Linked DNA regions of Notamacropus eugenii. The protein of the gene in region 3 purifies or fractionates together with the protein of the main gene of each other region. This does not show direct contact. Links are inferred from orthologs where the notes say so. Each region holds a gene or a part of one and is shown on either strand. Other genes may lie near its edges.

The links. Proteins that work in one complex are often made in the same cells at the same time.
Region 1: the proteins of DNAJC7 (region 3) and BLTP2 purify together in Homo sapiens (co-immunoprecipitation; 3 studies listed by BioGRID and IntAct, counting the BioPlex papers as one, with this or other methods). This does not show direct contact. The link is inferred for Notamacropus eugenii from reciprocal best matches to the Homo sapiens genes DNAJC7 and BLTP2.
Region 2: the proteins of DNAJC7 (region 3) and DNAJB1 purify together in Homo sapiens (affinity purification with mass spectrometry; 3 studies listed by BioGRID and IntAct, with this or other methods). This does not show direct contact. The link is inferred for Notamacropus eugenii from reciprocal best matches to the Homo sapiens genes DNAJC7 and DNAJB1.

The regions. Positions count from the first base shown.
Region 1 is NC_092873.1:36,056,441-36,063,955, reverse strand, and holds the start of BLTP2 (bridge-like lipid transfer protein family member 2), read left to right. Parts: upstream 1-4,406; 5' UTR 4,407-4,507; coding exon 4,508-4,575; intron 4,576-5,562; coding exon 5,563-5,692; intron 5,693-7,515. UniProt on the Homo sapiens protein: Tube-forming lipid transport protein which binds to phosphatidylinositols and affects phosphatidylinositol-4,5-bisphosphate (PtdIns-4,5-P2) distribution.
Region 2 is NC_092875.1:76,444,178-76,451,866, forward strand, and holds the start of DNAJB1 (dnaJ homolog subfamily B member 1), read left to right. Parts: upstream 1-4,580; 5' UTR 4,581-4,738; coding exon 4,739-4,949; intron 4,950-6,416; coding exon 6,417-6,997; intron 6,998-7,417; coding exon 7,418-7,648; 3' UTR 7,649-7,689. UniProt on the Homo sapiens protein: Interacts with HSP70 and can stimulate its ATPase activity. Stimulates the association between HSC70 and HIP. Negatively regulates heat shock-induced HSF1 transcriptional activity during the attenuation and recovery phase period of the heat shock response.
Region 3 is NC_092873.1:358,507,381-358,514,513, reverse strand, and holds the start of DNAJC7 (dnaJ homolog subfamily C member 7), read left to right. Parts: upstream 1-3,928; 5' UTR 3,929-4,021; coding exon 4,022-4,107; intron 4,108-7,025; exon of another isoform or gene 7,026-7,133. Other genes in the region: NKIRAS2 (NF-kappa-B inhibitor-interacting Ras-like protein 2), read right to left, coding at 84-325, 1,022-1,115. UniProt on the Homo sapiens protein: Acts as a co-chaperone regulating the molecular chaperones HSP70 and HSP90 in folding of steroid receptors, such as the glucocorticoid receptor and the progesterone receptor.

The sequences.
Region 1 (7,515 bases), about 320 Mb from region 3:
GAAATTTCCAAGGTTCCTTAAGAGCATCAGCTCCCTCCCTGCCAACATCTATCCTTATCCTGGACTTGGCTTCACCTCCTAAATATGGGAGTTATTGCCAGTGGTGGGACTGATCTTTTCATCCATTTAGAACAAATAAAAGTGGAAGAAATAATAAAAGAAACATCTCTCAGAGATGGGAGATTCCCCTCATTTGGATGCTTTGTCATAATAATCCGTTATTATGGATTTCAGTCTCCAATATATGCTTTTTCTCAGGAGAAATAAAAATTTGATTCTCAGTCTTTAAGTGGTCGTTTAATTAGGAGTCACACTTCAGATAGGGTTGTTTACTGCTGTAAGGCTTTTGAAATTACTAGGGATTCTCAGCTATTGACCTTGTAAGGTCTTCTTTTTCCTTAACTTCAAACTCATGCCCATTGGCTAGAAGTCCAAATCCTTATGGATGATAACCTCCAATTGGTTTGCCTTAATGGTGTTTTGTATAAAAAATTGAGACCTAGTTTCTGGGTAATTAATCATTGCTCGTGGATAATTAATAAAAGAGATCAGTGGTACTATAGAATGCCAAAGACCCCTCATGGAACCCACTCAATATGTCCTTGCAAGAGTTGGTGTTCCCTGAGGGTGTCAATCAACTGGAATTGATTAACAATTAATGAGAAGAATGAATACTATAGTGAGAGGTGAATTCATCCTAAGGAGGAGCTGGGGGACATGACTCTGCTCACTCTTGCTCCCAGACCACTCCCAGCCTCAGGCAATCTAGACAAAGGATCTACCCCCCACCCAAGCCTAAGTAGAACACCACTGGCCCAAATTCACCTTAAGACTAAATTCTTCTTAAGGGTCTCTAGGTGGGTGGGGCAACAATTCCAAGATTTCATCTAACTGCCCTTCAGAGAACTACGTTTTGACCTACCCTCCAAATGAGGAAGGGAAAAAATCCTGGCCCTTCCCAATACTAATAATTAGTTATTTAATAATAATTTCAATAGTTAGTGAATTGCTGCAGCCTGGACCCACAATTGTTGATAAGTTCAGTAGTCATACGTTTATCTACTTCCCTGACCAAACTGGGCAAATGCCAAGTATTTGAAGGTGATCATATGACTTCGGTTTGGGAACAAATAGTCATTTCTTGTCTTCAGCCTCCCTCATAATCCCAAAGCAAGTGGCTTCTGGGATGTTGGACTTCTTCATTCCACTGCATTCCAGAAGTGTGATGGGGGTGGAAGGGAGGTGGCTGCCATCTGTTGGGATTCCAAGGGATACAGTTAGACACTTTATTTTAGGATGGCTTTTTTCCACTCACTCATTTTGCAGCCTTTCCATTTTACTTGGAGAATGTGAACTCTGTGCCCGATCTCCCCGTCTGAGATGTTAAGATTTGGTCCCTTTCCCAGTGACACAATCCAGTAAGATATCATAGTGAGAACTTCACTAGAACAACTTTAGAAGTTCTGATTTACAGAAAATCTTCCCATTTCTCCAGTTTAACTGTCCAGATCTTCTGGGAAGAAAAGTCTTGAGAGAGAAGGGTCAAATGTAACAGGATATTATAGAGAAGAGACAGCAACCAAAGGAATGATTGGAGAAAAGGAAGCAAGAGTGGACTGGAAAAGCAAAGGCAGAGCTAACTAAACAAGTGACCAGCTGGCTAGAAGAGGAAGGGGGAGGAAGAATAGATTGCAAGTGAGGAGGCAAAGTGCCAGAAAAGTGGGGAGGGATCAGAGGGACAGCTGAGCTGCCTCTGCCTGTTTTACCAGGAATCAGTAACTGGACACAAAACTTGTTAGAGGGCTGATAATAGAACAGGAGAATGTACTATCAGGGGAAACTATCAGAGGGAAATGCTTTTGGATAAGACAGTGGATATTTATAGAAAAGAGGCTAGCCCACAAAACAGTGTCCCCATCATGCTCCTCTTTGAGCTCTTGGTACTCGCTGCAGTCAGGCACTTGAATATATTTACCCAGGAATTAAACTCGGCTTATTTCATCTATGTCTATTATGATTTCTCAGTGATTCCTGAAGGGCATGAACCAGAGCCCCTACTTCGTACCCTCCACACTATGTAATGCCATGCTGTGCACAAGGATGCTTAACATCTTGTGAGTGAACAGAATTTGAAGAATTCACTTAGTTCCATCAACAACAGCTGGCCAGAATAAGATACTCCCCAGAGTAAATGAATTAAATGCAGAGTTTGCTATCTCTATTTTGATACTTTGAATGACTCAAAGCTTCATCGGTGTTTCTCTTTCAAAGTGAAGACCACAACCCCCTCCAGGCTTTCTCATCCTTTATGTCCAAATTCTCCACAGCTGATTAACAGATCCATCCAGCAAGCTACAAACATTCCTAGGCAAGTAGGTTCTCCACGACTGATGAACAGATCCATCCAGCATGCTACAAACACTCCTAGGTAACTAGGTTCTTCATAGCTGATGAACAGATCCATCCAGCATACTACAAACATTCCTAGGCAAGTAGGTTCTCCATGACTGATGAACAGATCCATCCAGCATGCTACAAACACTCCTAGGTAACTAGGTTCTTCATAGCTGATGAACAGATCCATCCAGCGTGCTACAAACACTCCTAGGTAACTAGGTTCTTCATAGCTGATGAACAGATCCATCCAGCGTGCTACAAACACTCCTAGGTTACTAGGTTCTTCATAGCTGATGAACAGATCCATCCAGCGTGCTACAAACACTCCTAGGTAACTAGGTTCTTCATAGCTGATGAACAGATCCATCCAGCGTGCTACAAACACTCCTAGGTAACTAGGTTCTTCATAGCTGATGAACAGATCCATCCAGCGTGCTACAAACACTCCTAGGTAACTAGGTTCTTCATAGCTGATGAACAGATCCATCCAGCATGCTACAAACATTCCTAAGCAAGTAGGTTCTCCATGACTGATGAACAGATCCATCCAGCATGCTACAAACACTCCTAGGTAACTAGGTTCTTCATAGCTGATGAACAGATCCATCCAGCGTGCTACAAACACTCCTAGGTAACTAGGTTCTTCATAGCTGATGAACAGATCCATCCAGCGTGCTACAAACACTCCTAGGTTACTAGGTTCTTCATAGCTGATGAACAGATCCATCCAGCGTGCTACAAACACTCCTAGGTTACTAGGTTCTTCATAGCTGATGAACAGATCCATCCAGCGTGCTACAAACACTCCTAGGTAACTAGGTTCTTCATAGCTGATGAACAGATCCATCCAGCGTGCTACAAACACTCCTAGGTAACTAGGTTCTTCATAGCTGATGAACAGATCCATCCAGCGTGCTACAAACACTCCTAGGTAACTAGGTGGCCCAGTGGATAGAGTGCTAGACTAGAAGACACAGACACCTGGGTGCAAATGCAGCTTCAGATCCAAAGTGACCCTGGGCAAGTCATTTAAGCTTCGTTTCAGTTTCTTCCTAGGCAAAATGGCGGTGACAACAGCACCTCCCCCCACTGTGGTGACGACGCTAACCTTATAAAGGGTCACATAAAATGCCTTGTGGGGTTTTTTTGGTGGTTTCGTTTTTTCTATCCGGAAGATGCCAGTTGGGCTGTCCAGCTTATATATGTTGTCTCATTTCTTTTTCCTCGGATGGAGAAAAAAGATGAGGAGACTAGGATGGTACAATCCAACTTGTACCCAGAGGCAGAAACCGGAGCAGGAGGCAGAAGATCCTGGGTCGGTTCGGACCCTTCCGCTGCCCTCCTAGCGCAGGGCCAAGGGTGGCCCCAGCCCCTCAAACGTTACGCCAGGACCCCCAGGGGGCCCCGAGACGCCCGGCTCCCCGCTGAGTAACGTGAGCTCGCCCTAGAACTTGGGACCGGGAGAGCCGGGAGGCTCCCGTCCCCCACGGCCGCCGGACGAGGCAGGAATGCCAAGGCCGCCATCCTGCAGGGGGGGGGCCAGGGCACCCAGGGGCTTGGCCCACGGCCGGGCTAGCGCAGGGCATCGCCACCCCTTTGACCTCGGGGTGCTTCCCCCTCCCCTAGCCGGCCAAAGCGAGGGGCTGGAGCCCACCTCTAAGGCCGCTTTTTGGGACTCGCCCTCGGGGCCGGCGGAGGGCTAGCGAGCCGTGCAGGCCCGAGCGGAGGTCCGGCAGAACCTGCCGGCCGGGGGCTGGCGGGGAAAGAGGCGGGGCCGGAACTCTGGTTAGGGGGCGGGGCTAGAAGGAGGGACGTGTCTCCTCTTGGCTCTGGCCTCGGAGCCTCGAGCAGGGAAGCCGAGGCTGAGGGGGCGGGCGGGGCAAGGGAGAGGAGCGCGTTCTGGCTCCGCCCCCTTCCGCCTCCCTCGCGCTTTCGCTCGTTCGCGGCGGGCGCCGCGGGGGGGAGGGTTGGGAGGCGCCGGGCCGGGCCTGGGCGGAGCTCGCGGCGTCTCCTCCTCGCGCCGTCCCCCGCGCAGGCGGCTAGTCGGCCCTCGGAGCCTCCGCACGGAACTCGCGGGGGCCGGGCCGGGGCCGGGGCCGCGGGGGCCGCTATGTCTCTGCTCTTGGCCGTGCTGCTGGCCTTGCTCGTGGCTGTGCTCTGCACCCTCTTCTTCTGCCGGTGAGGGGCCGCTGGGGCTGAGAGAGGGGCGAGGGGGCCGCGGGAGCGCGCGCGGAGGGAGGGGCCGGGCGGCGGGGGCGCGCGCGGAGGAGGGGCCGGGCGGCGGGGGCGCGCGGGCTGGGGAGGGGCTCCAGGGAAAGGGGAGGACCCGTGGGCTGTGGGAGGGGAGCCCCTGGTTTGGTGCTCTGGGTTCCGGGTGACCTTGGGCAAGTCCCCCGCCCCTACAGACCTTGGCACCGCCTGCCGCGTCCGGGTGCTGCCCTCCTCCTCCGCCTCAGTTTCCTCTGCTGCACTGCAGGGGTCACTGGGCCCCTTGCCCACCTCCCGGGCTCGCCCTCCCCTCCCCCAAGCCCACGCAGCCTTCCCTCTCGCCCCTTTTCTGGGGGGAGTACCTGGTCCATCTCGCCCTTGCCTGGCCCCGACCACCCCCAGGCCGCCCTTGGGTGGCCCCAGAGCGGCGGGGTCCTCCCTTCCAGGGAGGCTGTGGTCCCTTTTTCCGCGTGCAGCCTGAGTTCTAACGGTGGGCCGGGAGCAGGGGGGAGTTCCCCAGTCCACCTCGGAGGGCTGGGGGGAGATCTGGGGAGCCCTGAATCCACTGGTTTTCTCAGGGCGATGGGAGCATGGGGGCCCCTCACCTAGACCCTGGGTCTGGAGGCCAGACCCCTGAGGCGCTGGGGCTCCAGAGCCAGAAGTCTGTCACTTCACAGCCGAGGAAACTGAGGCTCAGAGAGGTTGCCCAGATAGTCAGTGGCACAGCAGGATCATCGAGTCCCCCCTCATTTCACCGGGGCATTCCCAGAGTTGCCCCCGTAGCAAGTGCCTGAAGCAGGATGGCTCTTTGGGCTGGACCCACCAGGAGGGGAAGGAGAAAATAGAAACTTTGGGGAAGCCTAGTCCACAGACCAGAACACTCATGAGATCCTTCTGCCAGCCCACATGTCTGCAGAGTCCCACAGACACCTAGTGCTCACCAGCATCTTTTGGCAGGTGGCTTCTGATTCGATTGGCCACCAAGTGGTGTCATCGAAGTCTCCAAGCCGAGCTCAAGATAGGCTCCTTCGGCTTCTTCTGGATCCAGAACGTTAGTCTGAAGTTTGAGCAGCACGAGCAAACAGTGGTGAGTCCGAGGGAATTCCCTGAATCACCAGGTGGAGGGGAAACCCAGCTGAAATCAGCAGTGGCCAAGAATGTTTTGCCTTGTCCACAATGATGTCCTGTTGTTTCCTACAATTCTAATGATTTTTTTTAAATTATTTTTTAATGTTTAACAATCACTGCCATACAATTGCGATTTTATCCCCCCCACCTACCCCCCACTACCCCCCTCCCTCCCCACGACTGCATACAATTCTGTATAGATTCTACATATACTTTCCTATTGAGTATATTTTCACTATAGTCATGCTATGTAGTCAGACTAAGATAAATGAAAGAAATCGTATAACAAATCAGAACATGATACACAAACACATACACATACACAGACATGATCTGCTACATTTTGTGAGTGACTTCCATATTTCTTTCTCTGAGTGTGGAAGGCAGTTTGCCTTGAGAACCACCTTTGGGATTTTTTTTTTTATAAGAAGTTTTTGCGTTATTACAAAATTCCAAGTCTACCAGAAAAAACTCTCACACACTGTGGTCGTTGCTGTGCACAAAGTTCTCCTGGTTCTGCTCCTTTCACTCAGCATCAGGTCATATAAGTCCTTCCAGGCCTCTCTGAAGTCTTCTTGTTCATCATTTCTTATGGCACAATAGTACTCCATTACATTCATATACCATAATTTATTCAGCCATTCCCCAATTGATGGACATCCCCTTGACTTCCAGTTTTTGGCAACTACATAGAGTGCTGCTATAAATATTTTTGTACATGTGGGACCCTTTCCCATTTTTATGATCTCTTGGGGATATAGTCCTAGTAGCGATATTGCTGGGTCAAAGGGTATGCACATTTTTGTAGCCCTTTGGGCATAGTTCCAAATTGCTCTCCAGAATGGTTGGATGCGCTCGCAGCTCCACCAACAATGAATTAGTGTTCCAACTCTCCCACATCCTCTCCAGCATTTATCATTTTCTTGTTCTGTCATGTTTGCCAATCTTATAGGTGTGATGTGGTACCTCAGAGTTGTTTTGATTTGCATCTCTCTAATCAATAGTGATTTAGAGCATTTTTTCATATGATTATAGATATCTTTAATTTCTTCCTCTGAAAATTGCCTGTTCATATCCTTTGACCATTTATCAATTGGGGAATGACTTGTAAATTCTAATGATTTTCAAAATATTTCATTTATTGGTACTTTTGGAATTTACTGTGGTGTGTCATAAGAGGCATCACGAGATGGTGTTCAGAGGCTTAGCTTCAAAGTCAGGATGGCCTGAGATCAGATCTTGTTTTTGACATACTGATCCTGGCCAGGTCACTGTATCCCAAGCAAACCTCTAAGACTACAACATTGTAGATGACTTGCCAGTCTGCATTAGTGAAGACAATTTCCCAATGAAATTATAGGACCAGACCAAAAAAAACCCGGTATGAGATGTGGCTCTTATCCTCTTGTTGTTTTGGCCTGTCAGTTTTTATTGGGGAAAAAAGTCCTGTCCCATTATGTTTTCTAGTTATGCACTCTGTGGCTCAGTTCCCCATTTCAGAAATGACAGAAGTGGTCAAGTATGACCTCAGAGGGCCGTTCCAGCTCTAAATCTGTCATTCCGCAAGCACACTTCTGTTAACATTCCTTTGGTTCTGTATTCTCTATTTTGTTCCATTGATCTACTTTCATAGTTTAAAAAAATTTTGATTTGACCACTACTTTTGAGATCTTTTATTTCCCCTATAATTTTCCTTGGTGGTGTCATTCCTGATAAATTTTAATCACAATCCTATGAAGCAGCTGAATGGTATTTTGATTGGAATTGCATGAAATCCATATT
Region 2 (7,689 bases), on a different chromosome or scaffold from region 3:
GAAACAAGCATTTATTATGTGCTTACTGTGTGCCAGGCACTAGGCTACTCAAGGTTTGGGAAATTATGATGACTATAGTATAGTACTTAATTTGAGTTTTAGGTGTCAGCAGGAGGTACAGGGAAAGATGTCTAACAGGCACTTGGAGAAATAAGATTGGATCTCAGATGAGAGATTAGGACTATTTATATAAATGTTGAAATATTTTGACCAGCAACCCTAAGGTCCCTTCCTAGTTTGATTTTTTTTCTTTTTTTTTTTATCAGAGGGACCATCCCTTGATTCACTTCTTAAAGAGGCCTATTCATTATAATGGGCATTACATCACTCAAAGCAAGAACTTGAAAAGACTTTAGCTTAAAAGGGCCAAGGTCTCCCACTGCATCCTGGGCTATCTCCAGTCCTGATCTATATCTGGTCACTGGACCCAGATGGCTCTGGAGGAGAAAGTGAGGCTGGTGACTTTGCACAGCCCTCCCTCACTTGAATCAAAGTCAATTGCAAGTCATGTCATCATCTCCCTGATGTCATGGTTCTCTTTGAGGATGAAGGACAAACCACAACACGAAATAATGATTTTTTCAAAGCTTTCAAATATGTTATTTTATTTGATTATGCATCAAACATAGTCAATAAGTTTGGCAAGTATTATCTCCATTTTACAAATGAGGAAACCAAGGGATTAAATTACTTATCCAGTGTTATGTCTCTCAAGAGAAGCAGAGCCAGGATTAGAGAGCTCAATTGTCTTGACACAGATGTCATAATTTTGTTACCTGTGCCCCAGAACAGAAGCTCTGTGTTTACATGGACTAGCTTCAATATTAGGAGCTTCTCTTACTAAATATTACTCCTTTTGGCTCCTGCTTAAAATCTTTAAACTTAAGGATTTCCCTTGGGATTTGGATCATGTCTAGAATTCTCCCCACCAAAAATAAAAGGGGAAAGACCTATATAGCTCCCTTGAAAGCACTCAGGCTAACAAAACTTGGCATATAAAACAGACTTTATTTAACCCTACAGAAATTGCAGAGGACTTGTACACCAGGTCATCTACAGTCAAGACCATCATCCTTCCCTCTCCAAGATGTTTTCCCTCTCTCAGGGATCTATATATTCCTCCAAATTTATAGTACCAGCTTGGGGCAGCTAAGGTGGTGCAGTGGATAGAGCACCAGTGCAGGAGTCAGGAGGACATGAGTTCAAATCTCACCTCAGACACTTGACACTCACTAGCTGTGTGACCTTGGGCAAGTCACTTAACCCCAGTTGCCTCATCCTGGGTCATCTCCAGTCATCCTGATGAATATCTGGTCACTGGATTTAGATGGCTCTGGAGAAGAAGTGAGGCTGGTGACCTGTGCAGCCCTCCTTCACTCAAAACAAAGTCAAGTGCAAGTCATGTCATTATTTCTCTGATGGCATGGTCTTTTTCGGCAATGAAGGACACACACACACACACACACACACACACGCACACACAAATAACCACGTAGGGGTTGAGAACTTCCTCAAATGGTTAAAGTACTTAGTGTTGCTAGGGCACTAACCCCTTTACTCAAACCTGCACAGTCCACATAATTTATAGTATCAGTGAAGGGCAAAATTCATATCATGGACTTGTCCATTACCAAACCCTCTGTAATGGACCCAAAGTTGATCCAGGAACTCCACTGCTCCACCCTGCCAGGCTTTCTGGAGTTCTTCATTTGGTCCTGGAGGCCCTCTTCAGGCCACATCCTGAATGCTACAATGTTCCCTAGAGAACAAGTTTCCCTGACAAGGCTACATGGTTGCACCAACTTCACTCCAGGTAACTGGATGTTTATCCAACTAATTTTTCTCACCAATCCAACCTCTCTCCAGTTCTTCAGACTTCCCTTCAGAGGCCAGGTCCAAGGATTAGCCTAAATATATGAACTAGAAGTGAATCTTCCACAATATAGTTTAAAGGGGCAAGAACTAACCTTTTCAGAGTTCAGACCTCAATATGAGGGATTCTGAAAGTAGTGTGGTGGACAGAGTACTAGACCTGGAGTCAGAAAGGCCTGAGATACTTAGTATTTATGGCCAAGTCACTTAACCTCTAGTCTCCTCCTCTGTAAAATGAGGATTATCATAGCACCTACTTCAGAGACTTCTTTTTGAAGGTCAAATAAGATAATATCTGTAAAGTACTTTGGCAAGCCTTCAAGTGATTTATAAATGCCTACTGGTGTTACTGTTGTCCTCCTGAGGTACGCCTTTCCACTGAAAAGGGGTAAAAGCTTCTAAATCAGAGGTTGGAGAGATCTCAGGTTTTTATTCTTTACTTACTACTTTTATGAGCCTGAGCAAGTCATTCATCCTCTCTGGACCTCAGTTTTCTCATCTTTCAAATGAAGGCTGGACTAAATGAACTAAATAGCATAATCCTGATTCTTCAACAAATTCAGAAAAGCAATATGTGGAGCAAAGTGCACTAAAGATGGAATCAGGACCTGGGTTTGAGTCTGGTTCAGATGTTTCCCAGTTGGGTGAGAGGGGTCAAATTCTTTTTTCTCTATGAAGAGAAAAAGTCATTGCATAGAAATGGAACTGAGTACTGTGATGGAGATTGGGAGGATCAAGGGAATCAGCTCCAGGATGCTCTCCCTCAAATATTTGTTGAATCGGAATCCTATTGTATGTAGTCCTTCCAAGTCACCCATATTCTCACCCTTACAGTCATTCCCAGTTTGTTCCCCTCTTTCACCCTTCATATCCAGTCAGTTGCAGATATGAATTCCCACCTATAGATTCATCCAAGCTACAAGCTATCCACCCATTACCACATGCCTTACCTACTTCAATAGCCTCCCTAATTGCTCTCTCCCTGCCTTTCTCCTTTCTTTCTCCTTTCTGCAATTCTTCCTCCACACCATTGCCAAATTCTGTCCTAATGAACAGGTCTGACCATGTCTCTTACCTGCTTGAGATGTTTCATAAGTTCCTTATTGTCATAGGATAAAATGCAGACTCCTGTGGCCCTTCACAGGCTCCAGCTTACATTTCTAAACTGATTTCACCTCTTTCTCTCCCCCCACCCCCAATTCTAACCAGATTCAACTATTTGATGATGTTCTCTTAATAGACATGTCTACTTTCCTGCTTCTGCAACAAGCTGTCTCCCAGGCAAGAAATTCTGTCCCTTGTCCCTTCTACATTTAAAAATCTCAGACTTCCTTCAGTGCTCAGCCTTAGCGCCACTTCCTACCAAAAAAATAAAACTTTTTTAATGCCCCCACTTTATTGTTATTTTGTATATATTTTGCATTTACTTCTCTACCTTATTCTCTTCCCCTCCACTTCAATAGCATGGAAGCTCCTAGAGGGCAGAGACTGTTTGCTTTTTTGTCTATGCCTGGCACACAGTAAGCACTTAATAAGTAAACAAGCATTTATTAAATGCCTACTATGTGCCAGGCTGTGTTAAGCCCTGATGATACAAAAACAGCCCTCCTTCTCAAGGAGAGACAACATGCCAACAACGATATACAAAAAGCTATAATACAAGATAAATTGTAGGTAACAAATAGAGGGGAATGTACTAGTTTTAAGGGGGATTGGGAAGGGCTTCCTGTAGAAGATGGGATTTTAATTGGAACTTGAAAGAAGCCAGAAAAGGTGAAGAGAAGAGAGTATTCTAGGCCTGGGGGACAGCCAGAGAAAATGTTCTGAGCTGAGAGATGGAGTGTCTTGTTTGTGGATCAAAGAGAGTATATGGTTAGTGGTTCAGGACACAAAGTGTTAAAAAAAAAAACATGGAAAGGTGAGGAAGGGAGTTAGATTCTGAAGAACTTTAAACGCCAGAGGATTTTCTATTTGATACTGAAAGTGACAGGGAACGACAGGGTGTGTGACATAGTCAGATCTGAGCTTTAGGAAGGTCGCTTTTGCAGTTGAATTGAGTGAAGATGATATTGGAGTGGAGAGAGACTTGAGGCAGACCCACCAGTCCGGGTGATGGGCTTGCACCAAGGTGGTGGCAGTGTCAGAGGAGAAAAACTGAATACTATTAGAAAAAGCTCCGAATTTGGAGTGGGAAAAGGCAGATTCTTCTTCCTTCTGCCACTTACTAGACACTTTTAAGACAGCAAACATTTATTAAAGGTTTTCTGTCTGTTAGGAGGAGACAAAAAATAAGCCCAGAATTAACGATCTTGCCTTCTCCAAGCCTCAGTTTCTTTTTCTATTCAAGGAGATCTGATCAGATCACCAGTCTCTTTCAGCTCTCTTAAAAGCCAGGATCTAGGACTGAAACCCAGACAAAGGGGCGGGACAGCCTGGCCGAGGGGCGGGGCTTGCTCTGATCCTCAGGTGTGGGCAGAGCACTGAGACTGAGTCTTCGACACCCTGGAAAAATAGAAATTCCAGGAGGGCGGGGCAGTGGGGGCGGGGCTGGTTGAACTAGGTGAGGGTCCCAGAAGGCCGCGGGAGAACTGACTCGCGCTCGGTGGGGGGCGGGGGCGTTGCAAAAGGGAGGAGCAAAGAAGGCGGAGGAGTGCGTCTCGAGCCCGCAACCGTTGACGATCCTACCCCGCCCCAGGGTCACGTGTTGCGATTCGGCCGCCCAGGATTGGGCAGTGCGGCGCGAGGGGCGGAGCGGAAGGTTCTGGAGAGGGCTGGCGGGCTCTGGAAGCTTCCGCCGGGCGGGTATATAGCGTCCGGGCCGGGGCGGCGGCGGAGCCGTAAGGACGGCGGCGGGAGGGTGGGGGTCATGGGTAAGGATTACTACCAGACGCTGGGCCTGGCCCGGGGCGCCTCGGACGAAGAGATCAAGCGAGCCTACCGCCGGCAAGCGCTGCGCTACCACCCGGACAAGAACAAGGAGCCGGGCGCCGAGGAGAAGTTCAAGGAGATCGCCGAGGCCTACGACGTGCTCAGCGACCCGCGCAAGAGGGACATCTTCGACCGCTACGGGGAGGAGGGTGAGTCAGGGGCCCGCGGAAGTGGGAGCAGGCTCATCCAGGAGAGGCCCGGGCGGCGCTGCAGGAGGCCGCCCCCGGAAAACCAGGAGCCGCCGGGCCCAGGGGACGGCGCTCGCGGCGAGGCCTGGCTCCTGCGAGCCTGCGCCGTCAGCCCGGAGCCTCCCTCCCGGGGGACGGGGAACCTCTGACGTTTGCTCGCCCCCTGCTCGCCTCCGGGGCCTGCTGTGGGTTTTGCAATGAGCAAGAGTTACTTTTTCCCTCCTCGTCCCCGGTGGGGCTGCTGGCCCCCCGACCCCCGTACCCATTGGCTACACTGCCCTGCATTCCGATTGGCAGCCTTTCGATGAGAGGTGGAGACCTGGCTGGCTCAGCAGCTGGCTGTCATGTCCGCAGAACCTTCTAGCATGTTTGTTAGTCATTCCCCGAGAGAAGTTAGACCAGAGGCAGGGAGATCTTAAGGTTTTACTGTGGGCCTTCCCCAGCCTGTGGGTGTGAGCAAAGCATCTACTAGTATGTTAGGCGGGGTCTACTTTTCCTCCCCACGCCTTAGCAAACTTGTTTGATGACTTCCCTTAGCTCCATTCCCCTGGAGGATATATTGGAAATGCACCTCCTTTGCTTTCACATGAGAATATTAATGATGGCTGAAGTCAACTCCTGAATCCAGTAGTTAACCTGGGGACATTTCCCTACCTTATTCCAGTAAGAAAAAGATGTAGATGTCTTGGATGTGAAACATATCACAATCAGGAATTGCAGAGCTGAGGCTCGGGCTAGTTGAAGAGTGCTTTGAAAAAGGGGGGATGGGGATTTTTTTCCAACTCTAGTAACATTGTTTTCCCAAGCATTTTATAGACCTTAAAAGCACAGGGGAAAGGTTTTAAAATACTTATGTGGTAGTCAAGGCTCAAAAGGCATCGGGATCAAATAGTAGCCATTCTTTAAAAGGGCTAACTATAAGCAACTGAAAATAGCATATTTTGCCATTTAGAAAGAAGGCTCATACAGAGCTCAACAGAAGTCTTAGTGAATACTTAAGCTAGTAGAGCTTAAAATTGCATTAAAACTTTTGGGATACCTTGTATATCTTGACCTCAAGGAGTAACCAGCTGAAATCTAGACAAGAATAGAAGTTAATAACACTCTGTTAAATTCTTCCTTATTTCTCAGGTTAGCACTAAAATACGGTCCAGCAATTTCCCTCACAGACTAGGCAGCCCAAGGCTAGGATGCAAAAATCTAGCATCTTCATCCTATTGATAGCTAACATACTGTCTGTCTTGAAATAAGATCATGTCTAAATAGGAAAAATAGGAGTATAGAAAGTGGGGCAAAAAAACAATGCTTTCTATTTGTCTAATGATGCCCAAGTTCTCTCTCCTTGACTGGGGAAGAAGAAGGAGTTCTAGAGCAAGAAGAGCTATTTTCTTTGGCCAACAATTTGAATTCTCGTTTTTCCTTTTTCAGGACTGAAGGGTGGTGGCCCTAGTAGTGGTAGCAGTGTTGGTCCTAACGGTGCTTCCTTCAGCTACACTTTCCATGGGGACCCTCATGCCATGTTTGCTGAGTTCTTTGGTGGCCGAAACCCTTTTGACACCTTTTTTGGTCAACGAAACGGGGAAGAAGGCATGGATGTTGATGACCCATTTTCTGGCTTCCCAATGGGCATGGGTGCCTTTACCAATATGAACTTTAACCGACCTCGTCCAGCCCAGGAACACAGCCGCCGAAAACAGGATCCCCCGGTTACCCACGATCTCCGGGTCTCACTTGAGGAGATCTATAGTGGTTGTACCAAAAAGATGAAGATCTCCCACAAGCGGCTTAACCCCGATGGGAAGAGCATCCGCAATGAGGACAAGATCCTGACCATTGAAGTGAAAAGAGGGTGGAAAGAGGGGACCAAGATTACCTTCCCAAAAGAGGGGGACCAAACCTCAACCAACATTCCAGCTGACATTGTCTTTGTTTTAAAGGACAAGCCACACAACATATTTAAGAGAGATGGGTCTGATGTGATTTACCCAGCAAGGATCACCCTCCGTGAGGTAAGGCAGGATCTTTATAGACATACAGCTGTGGTTTATAGTAACGGGATTCTGGACTTCAGTGACCTTAGAGAAAGAGACTTGTGGCTTGAAAGTAACCATCAGTAATGAAACCCAGGTCTTTTTATTCTAAGTTTAGTATACTGTCTGTATCTACTATGCTCCCTTGCTGGAGACATAAACATCTCTCAGCACAATCTAGAGAGGAATCACATGTTTTGATTGCCTGTATGTGGTTAGTCATGCAGATCTGTGCCACACTTTCTGGAAACAGTACAGGGGTTCATATAAGACAAGTTGAAGGGAAAGCTAGTCATCCTTACCCAGTCAAAATCTTTGTAAGCCCTAGAATCTGTCTTTAGAGAAGAATTCTCTCCCTCTTAGTTGTTCATCTATTTAATTATATGCCTTTGCTTTTAGGCCCTGTGTGGCTGTACAGTGAATGTCCCAACGCTGGATGGCAGGACCATACCGATAGTGTTCAAGGATGTCATCAGGCCCGGAATGAGGCGAAAGGTGCCTGGAGAAGGCCTTCCCCTCCCCAAAACACCAGAGAAACGTGGGGACCTCATTATTGAGTTTGAAGTGAATTTTCCTGACAGAATTCCCCAGTCTTCAAGAACCGTCCTGGAGCAGATCCTGCCTATATAGCAATCTCTGCTCCCCAAGGACTGAACCAAGGACATTTCCAA
Region 3 (7,133 bases):
TACCATTATTCTTAAAACTGTCTTCATTACTAAGGTGGTTTGAAAGACTGGGACTGAGTTGTGTAGGATGGGGTGATTCATACCTCCTTCTTGTCTTTCGATTTATCAATCTCTTTCTTAAGTAGTTCGACTTTCTGGAAGGACTCTCGGCTGTTAGTGCTGTAGACTAGGACATAGCCATCTGTACAGGAGAAACAGTGCTTGGGAAGTTCTGCCCCATCTCGAAGGCCACGGGTGTCATAGAATCTCACCTGCTCCCGCACACCTCGGTCAGTCTCGATTGAACCCACATAGATGTCTTCCTGGGTTTCAATCATCTCAGAACCTGGAATGGGATGAGTTTATTTGTTTTTTTGGACAGGAGTGAGTAAAACTGGGTATTTCCTGAGAGCCCAACTAGGGCTTTCTTCAAGCTGGGGGTAACTTAGGTGTGAGAAAAGGTGAAAAAATAAGGATTAGGGGAGCTACTGAAGACTATAAGGTAAGGATGAGGGGATCATTAAAAATCATTTTAGTATACTCTGATATTAAATTAGTGATAGGGACTGGGCCTGTGACTTCATTGGAATAGGGAACTCTCAGGTGAGGAAACTCCCTCTACCAATTTCAGTCTGATGTAACTTCTCTGCAACTGTTAGAAAAGTTGTTCAGAGCACTAAAAGATTAAATAAGTTACCCAAGGTCCCACTCCATGTCAGAGGTAAGACTAAACCTAGCGTTTCCCGGTTCTGAGGTCAGCCCTCATGTCAATTCTGACATGCCATAATGCCTCCTGACACATAATTAGCAATGTGCAAATACCCTGCTTTTCTTTCTACTCCATTTTCAAACCCTGGGCTTTCTTCCTTTGACTCCATTGCAAGGGCTGATTCCATATATGATGTTGTCTTGTATATGTGCTTCTACATCCATAGAACTGGTCCTTGGGCTGTGCTTGTGCGTGGACTATAGATCTAACGCCCCCTTCCCTCCTCCATTGTTCTCCCCCTTTCACACCCTTTCCCAAAATCCCAGCACTTACCCACTACATGGTTACCATACAACAGCTGTTCTAGGATGGAGGTCTTCCCCACCGAAGCCTGGCCACACACAACCACTTTGCAGCTCTTCCCCATGGATAGACCTCCACTTTGGGGAGGAGACAGGCTACACTGAGATGGAGAACAGGGGAGAGGAGGAGACACAACAGGGGAGGGACGATCAAAAGGGGATGCCTTGAGAACCCAAGTTCTGAATTTGACACATAATCCCTGGGGATTAGGACTCTTCACAACATTAGGATGATGGGTTTGTAGGTGGGAAGGAATTGAGAGATGAGGTGTACTGTGACCTTCAGGGATAGGTCCCTCTCTCTGGGTATTAGGATATAGAAGGGACCATCTGCTAAGGCCACAATATCTATAGATCTCAGCCTTCATCTTCCTTTCAATGTAAAAGAAAAAATGATCCCAAAGTCAATTGTCTGGCTAGGCTGGACTGATTGAGGACTTGGCAGACATTAGGGTTAAGCCCAAGAAAGGAATGCTTTCTATGAGAACCACTCCATCTTGCTCCCTAGAGCCTGCCAGACCAGCAATGTAGAGCAATGGCACGGAGAGAAGCTAGTCAAGATTAAAGAAGCCAAAGCTGAAAGGATTGGAGGGGGCTTTCAGTGTGTGTTGGCAGATTGCAGGGGCTGCTGAGATATGCCATGAAAGGTTAAACTCAGAGATACCTCCAAGGAGAGGCTCTCAGACACAGTAAGGGGTCCATGGACACAAAGAGAAAGACCAGAGACAGGCTCCTAGACAAAGAAGAGTCCCATGGAGGCAGTTTCTAAGGTACGTCCCATATGTAAATCTATGATCCCGTAGTGGAACCAGAGAGACCCCCAAAGAGAAAAATCTAGGTAAAGAGATTAAAGGGGAAGAAAACTCCAGGGCCCTTAGGTGACAGAATCATGAGTTTATTTAAGAAGTGTCTCATTGGAGCTGAGCAGCAGGCCATGGTCAAGGTCCAGAAGAGAAATCCAAATGATCAAGAAGACCCTATGTCCTGTTCTTTGACTCCCATTACCACTCTGCCAGGAGAGAGCAGTAGCTGCTCTCTGAGCCCCATTTGTCCCTGTGGTCTATGGTCCTGGGATGCTGCACCCACCCCTCCACCCAGGATGCCCAGGGCACCCTGGAGCAAGCTAAGAACAGAGGCTACCTACCTATTGGGGGTCTCTCCTAGGGTAAATGTCCCTAAGTACAGCAGCAGCTGATGCCGACAGAGGCAACTTCCCACTTCCTTCCTTGACCTCCCAGTCATCCCCACCCTCCTACATCCGGTGAACCCGCAAGAGAAGCCCAGGCAAGCAAAAGGATGGCGAAGAAGCAACACAGCTCCCTCTAGAGCCATGGCGCCAGGAATGAGGTGGAAGTCATCTGGACCAAGCTGTGATTGAGGGGATCAAAGATCTTTTCCCTCTAGAGAACTGATGCTGAGGGTTTTTTTCCCTAAAAGGGAAGGGAGAGGATGGTCAACAAATTTCCGAGGCTCTTAACACCAAAAGGACAAGAGTGAGAGTCTGGGACCAGTCTGGAGGCCCTGGCAATCTCAAGGTCAAGGATATGGGGTAGAGGATGTACTAATCTCTCATTCCCCTTAATTTGTTTGCAGAACTGTACAAGTTGATTAGGATTCACTCATCCATTCAACCAAGCATTTATTAAATACCTCTCATTAGCTACCTACTATTGAATACCCCCAGAAGGAATTGTAGATGGAAAAAAAAATAGAAATCGTCACTGCCCTGGAGAAGTATATAGTATATTGAGGAGTGGAGAGAAGTATGTACACAGTCTATACAAAGTAATTTCTGTGTGGAGAGTACTAGTTAGTAACTGGAGGGGTGTGGGGAATTAGAGTAGGCTTCCTCTAGGAGTTGACACCTGAGTTGAAACTTAAATCAGGAATTCTATGAGGATCCTAGATTTTAGAGCTGGAAGGACACTGGGTGGAGAGAGCACCTACTCCAACTCCATCTTTCTGCCAAATGAGACATAAAGGTCACACAAGGGATTTAGTGGCAAAACTAGTTCTCAACCCTGAGCCTTTCCAAAGCTCTTTCCTCCACATAATGTGGTTCATTTCATTGAATGCTGAACTCGCTGAATTCATTCAGCTGGATGCGGGCCAACCAACCCCCCAATGAAGTCAACTAGCATCTATAAAGGGCCTAGATGCACCAGGCTAAGCGCTGGGGCCCTGCTCCCGGGGGCTCCCAGTCAGTCCGTGCATCCCCGTCCTCAAGTGCGTCATACAGTTTGGGGGCGCCATCAGTCGCGCTTCAAACCAGGTGGATTTACAGGCGTTTCTGTTACTTTAAATCTTGACCCCATGGATGACTGCCCACTGTGGGGTGGTGCACGCTGGGTGGGGACAGCCGTTGGGATGGGGCAGGGGCGTGGGGGTCCCCCATAAAGCACGGGTGGCACCCCCGGGCGGCCCACATGAAAGGCTGCCCATAAAACAGGTCGGAGCGTCGTGAGGGGGAGGCCCCCGCCGCGCCCGGGGATCCCGGGCGGGGATGAAAGGAGCGGGCCGCGTTCCCCCCGCTTGGCTGGGCAGGGCCCCGGAGGCCAGCCCCCCAGCTGGCCGGCCTCCCGGAGCCCCTCCAGTCGCCTGGTCTCTCGCGCCCAGCCCAGGGAGCAGAACGCCAGGGCGTTGCCATGGCGACAGGGCCCTCGGAACCCTGAGGCCGAGCGCGCGGCCGCGCCCGCGACAAGCACGGATCCCCGCTCGGCGCCCCGCACGCTCGTCCAAGCTGGCTCCCCCGATGAGCCGGGGCCGCCTGTGGGCCCGCACTGCGGCCCCAGCGCCCCGACGCGGCCCGGCCCCGCTCTGGCAGCCCGCGCGCCCTCCCGCCGGCCGGCGAGCCCGAGAGAGCCTCTCTGGGCGCGCCCAGGCCGCCGCGGCGCCGCCGCTCGTTGCTCCTGCGCCCGGAAGTGCTCCTTACCGCCCGCCCCCCACCCGGCTCCCCAGCCCTGGCGGTAAGATGGCGGCGGCCGCGGAGTGCGATGTGGTAATGGCGGCGGCGGCCGAACCCGAGCCCGAGCTGCCCGACGACGAGGAAGCCCGGAGGTAACGAGGGCGCCGGCGGGCCCCGGGGAGGGGGCGGGAGCGGGCCCCGGCTCCTGGGGTGGGGAGGCCGCCACCCCCACCCCTCCCAGCCCGACTGGGCCCTGTCCTCGCGCGGCTGGGGAGGGGGGAGCGGGAGTCATGATCCGGGCTGCCGTGACCCCCCCCCCCCCGCGGCTCCCCGAGGTGTTGGGAAGGGGGGGGGAGCCCTAACCCAGAGCCTCCGGACGCCCGCAGCCACAGCCGGGCCCCGCAGCTTTTGCTGTGTGACCTTGGGCGAGCCCCTTGGCCTCTCTGGGTCTCGACGTCCAGCTCTTCATAGGGGGTTGGGGGGGGTTCGGGGTGGAGGCCCCCTCCCCGCACGCTGCTCCTCCCCCTTTCCTCAGCCCCGCCGGGTGCCCGCCCCTCCACCGGCGAGGTGATCCCGCGCTGCCCATTCATGCCCCGGCCCCCTGCCTTGCTCCGTGGTGTTACGTTCTGGACGGATCGGGCGGGGGGCACCGATCCCTTCTGCCCGCCCTTCCACCAGTGTCCTGGGGCTCAGGCAGCGGCAGGGGCCCGAGAGGACCAGCCCCGGCCTCCGCCGCCCCCCGGGAGGTCTTTCTGGGAAGGCCCGGATCCCTGCTACGTTGTTGAGGGCTGTTATTTGAACTGCCTTCCCCCTGCTGTGACTCTCAGTCAGAGCCCCGTTTGGGATGCTTCTAGGCTGTGGGCTGGACTCCGGTGCCCCTGCCTGTGACCCAGGCCCTGGCCGTAAGCGTACCTTCAGTGGGGTCAGTTTAATATTTAGCCCTTCTTAAATTTTCACTCGGATCAAAGGATGGCCAAAGTTCACACCCTGAGATTTCGATGTGATGGCAGACACCGAAGCACCTGCGAGCAGTTTAACTCTACTCAGGGCCCAGGTACCATAGTGGGAAAGGACCCCCCAAGGCTGGCCTCAGTCCTGTCCTCTAGTCAGCTGAGAAGTTAGAATAAACGTGATCCATTCTTCTAAGGAATTGCAAAGTGGGAAGCAGTAGTCCATAGGCCTTCCTCCTAACTGTACACCGACCCAGCCCTCCATGATTAACTAAGTTTAACCAGGTCAGAATGGAAGTTTGGAGATTCAGTGCTGAAAATGAGATGGGGCTGAAGAGTTCAGCATCCTAGGAGGTTGTCTTCCTATTTATACAAGTTTCACCCTCTCTCCTCCCAGTCACCTGTATCTCCCTCTCATCCATATTGGAGAACAGGAACTGGGGACATTCCCTAGAAATCTCCTTTTGCATGCTGACGTAGCCACTTTCCTGACTGGTCGGGGTCAGTTCACTTGGGAACAAAGTGGGAAACATCCCTTGGGCTGATTTTGTGAGGCTGTGTTTGTGTATATGGATGTGCTGGGTATGTCCACTGGGGCCAGGCACTCCTTTGGCTCAAGGAAAAGGTTATCTTTTCATCATTGCCACCTGTCTTTGCTGCTGAGCTAGCACTGTCCCAGCAGGGGGCAAAGTAAGGGTTTTCTAGAATTCTCTGGTGTCTAGGCATCAATAGTTGTCATGTTTAAAATGGGCATTAGGTTTCATTTTCTTAACCAGGTCTCCAAGGGAAAATGAAACTACTTATTTTGTGCTCTGTCCTTCTGGCAGTGTTCTTTTTTTCCTGAAGAAGCGGAAATGAAAGCTATTTTAGTCCGAAAGGCTAATATCTGCTATAGAATAGACTGAGATTCTACGCAGAGATTCTTGGTTCCTCTTGCCTCTAGAAGAGCTTCATCGTATTAGGAATCAAGGAGCTGATAACGTAGCTTAAAATTCTAGTGGTTCACGTTCTCAGGTTCACATTTTCCTATAGAATACAAGCATTATCTTCGTGACTGCTTGAGTGGGCTACCCATGTTGACATCCCGCCTACCCTGAGGGCTCTGTGGTAAAGCAGCATAGCTGTTGTTTGATGCCTCTAGGGATGTACAGCAGATTGGCTTCTATAGGAGGTATTATAAGGGTAAGTCTGGGCTTTGAGTTGTTCCTTCTCTTCCTTATTAAAGAATAGATTCTTGTTTACACACATCTGAAAGTCAGTGGTCATTTAAACAGCTTCCTTCACCTACAGGGCCTCTAGAGTCCCTTCTGGTTCCAAATCTGTGAACCTGAGCAGGGAGAAATGAGGAGAGTTATGTCCTTAAGAATCACTGTACCTGGATTTGTTTCACCAAGCCAGTCATCATACTAGTGACTTCATCTTACTGAGAGCAAATAAATTATTTAACTGCCTCAAAAAGCGATCATGAAAGACTTTCAGTTGCTCCATAGCAATGTCGAACAGGAACAGTCTATAATATTTGTGTGTGTATACACATACATGTATATGTATATATACAGACGTTTTGATATTATGTGTGTGTATGTATACACTCATACCTATGTAACAATATAATGCTCCTGTTCAATTTATTGCTGAATGGAAACTGAAAGTTTTTCATGCCTGCTTCAGATAGTATGTTGTATAACACACACACACACACACACACACACACACACACAGAATTTATATTTATAAAGAGTATTCAGACTCCACTTCTGTTTGTCTGTGTAGTGAGACTGGAACTAAAGATAAATGAATAAAAGCTCACGGGAACATCAGTGAGGTTTGTGGGAGGGATAGACCCCTAGGAGTCCTGAACCCTGAATAGCAACAAATTATTTGAACTTACTTACTTTAAAGTTCCGGAATTGCTGAAAATGATTACATTAAAAAAAATAGACCACACACTCAAGACCTTCCCCTTCTCCTTCTCTACATCACCTCATAGACCCATACATAGGATAAAGCAAATAATTTTTGATGAATGTTGGGCCAGTTGACTGGCAGTTGCTCAGGTCCATTCCCAACCACCAGCACTCCGATTGGCTTAAAGGCCAACCCTATTGTGTGTTCTGACCAATCAGAAACCAGTTTATTCATAGAAGGGACCGTTTTTTTTAAAAGTAGATCTGAGTACTGGGCACTTGGGGAGCCAGCTGGTTTTCCTGTTCCTGGACTTAGGTTCG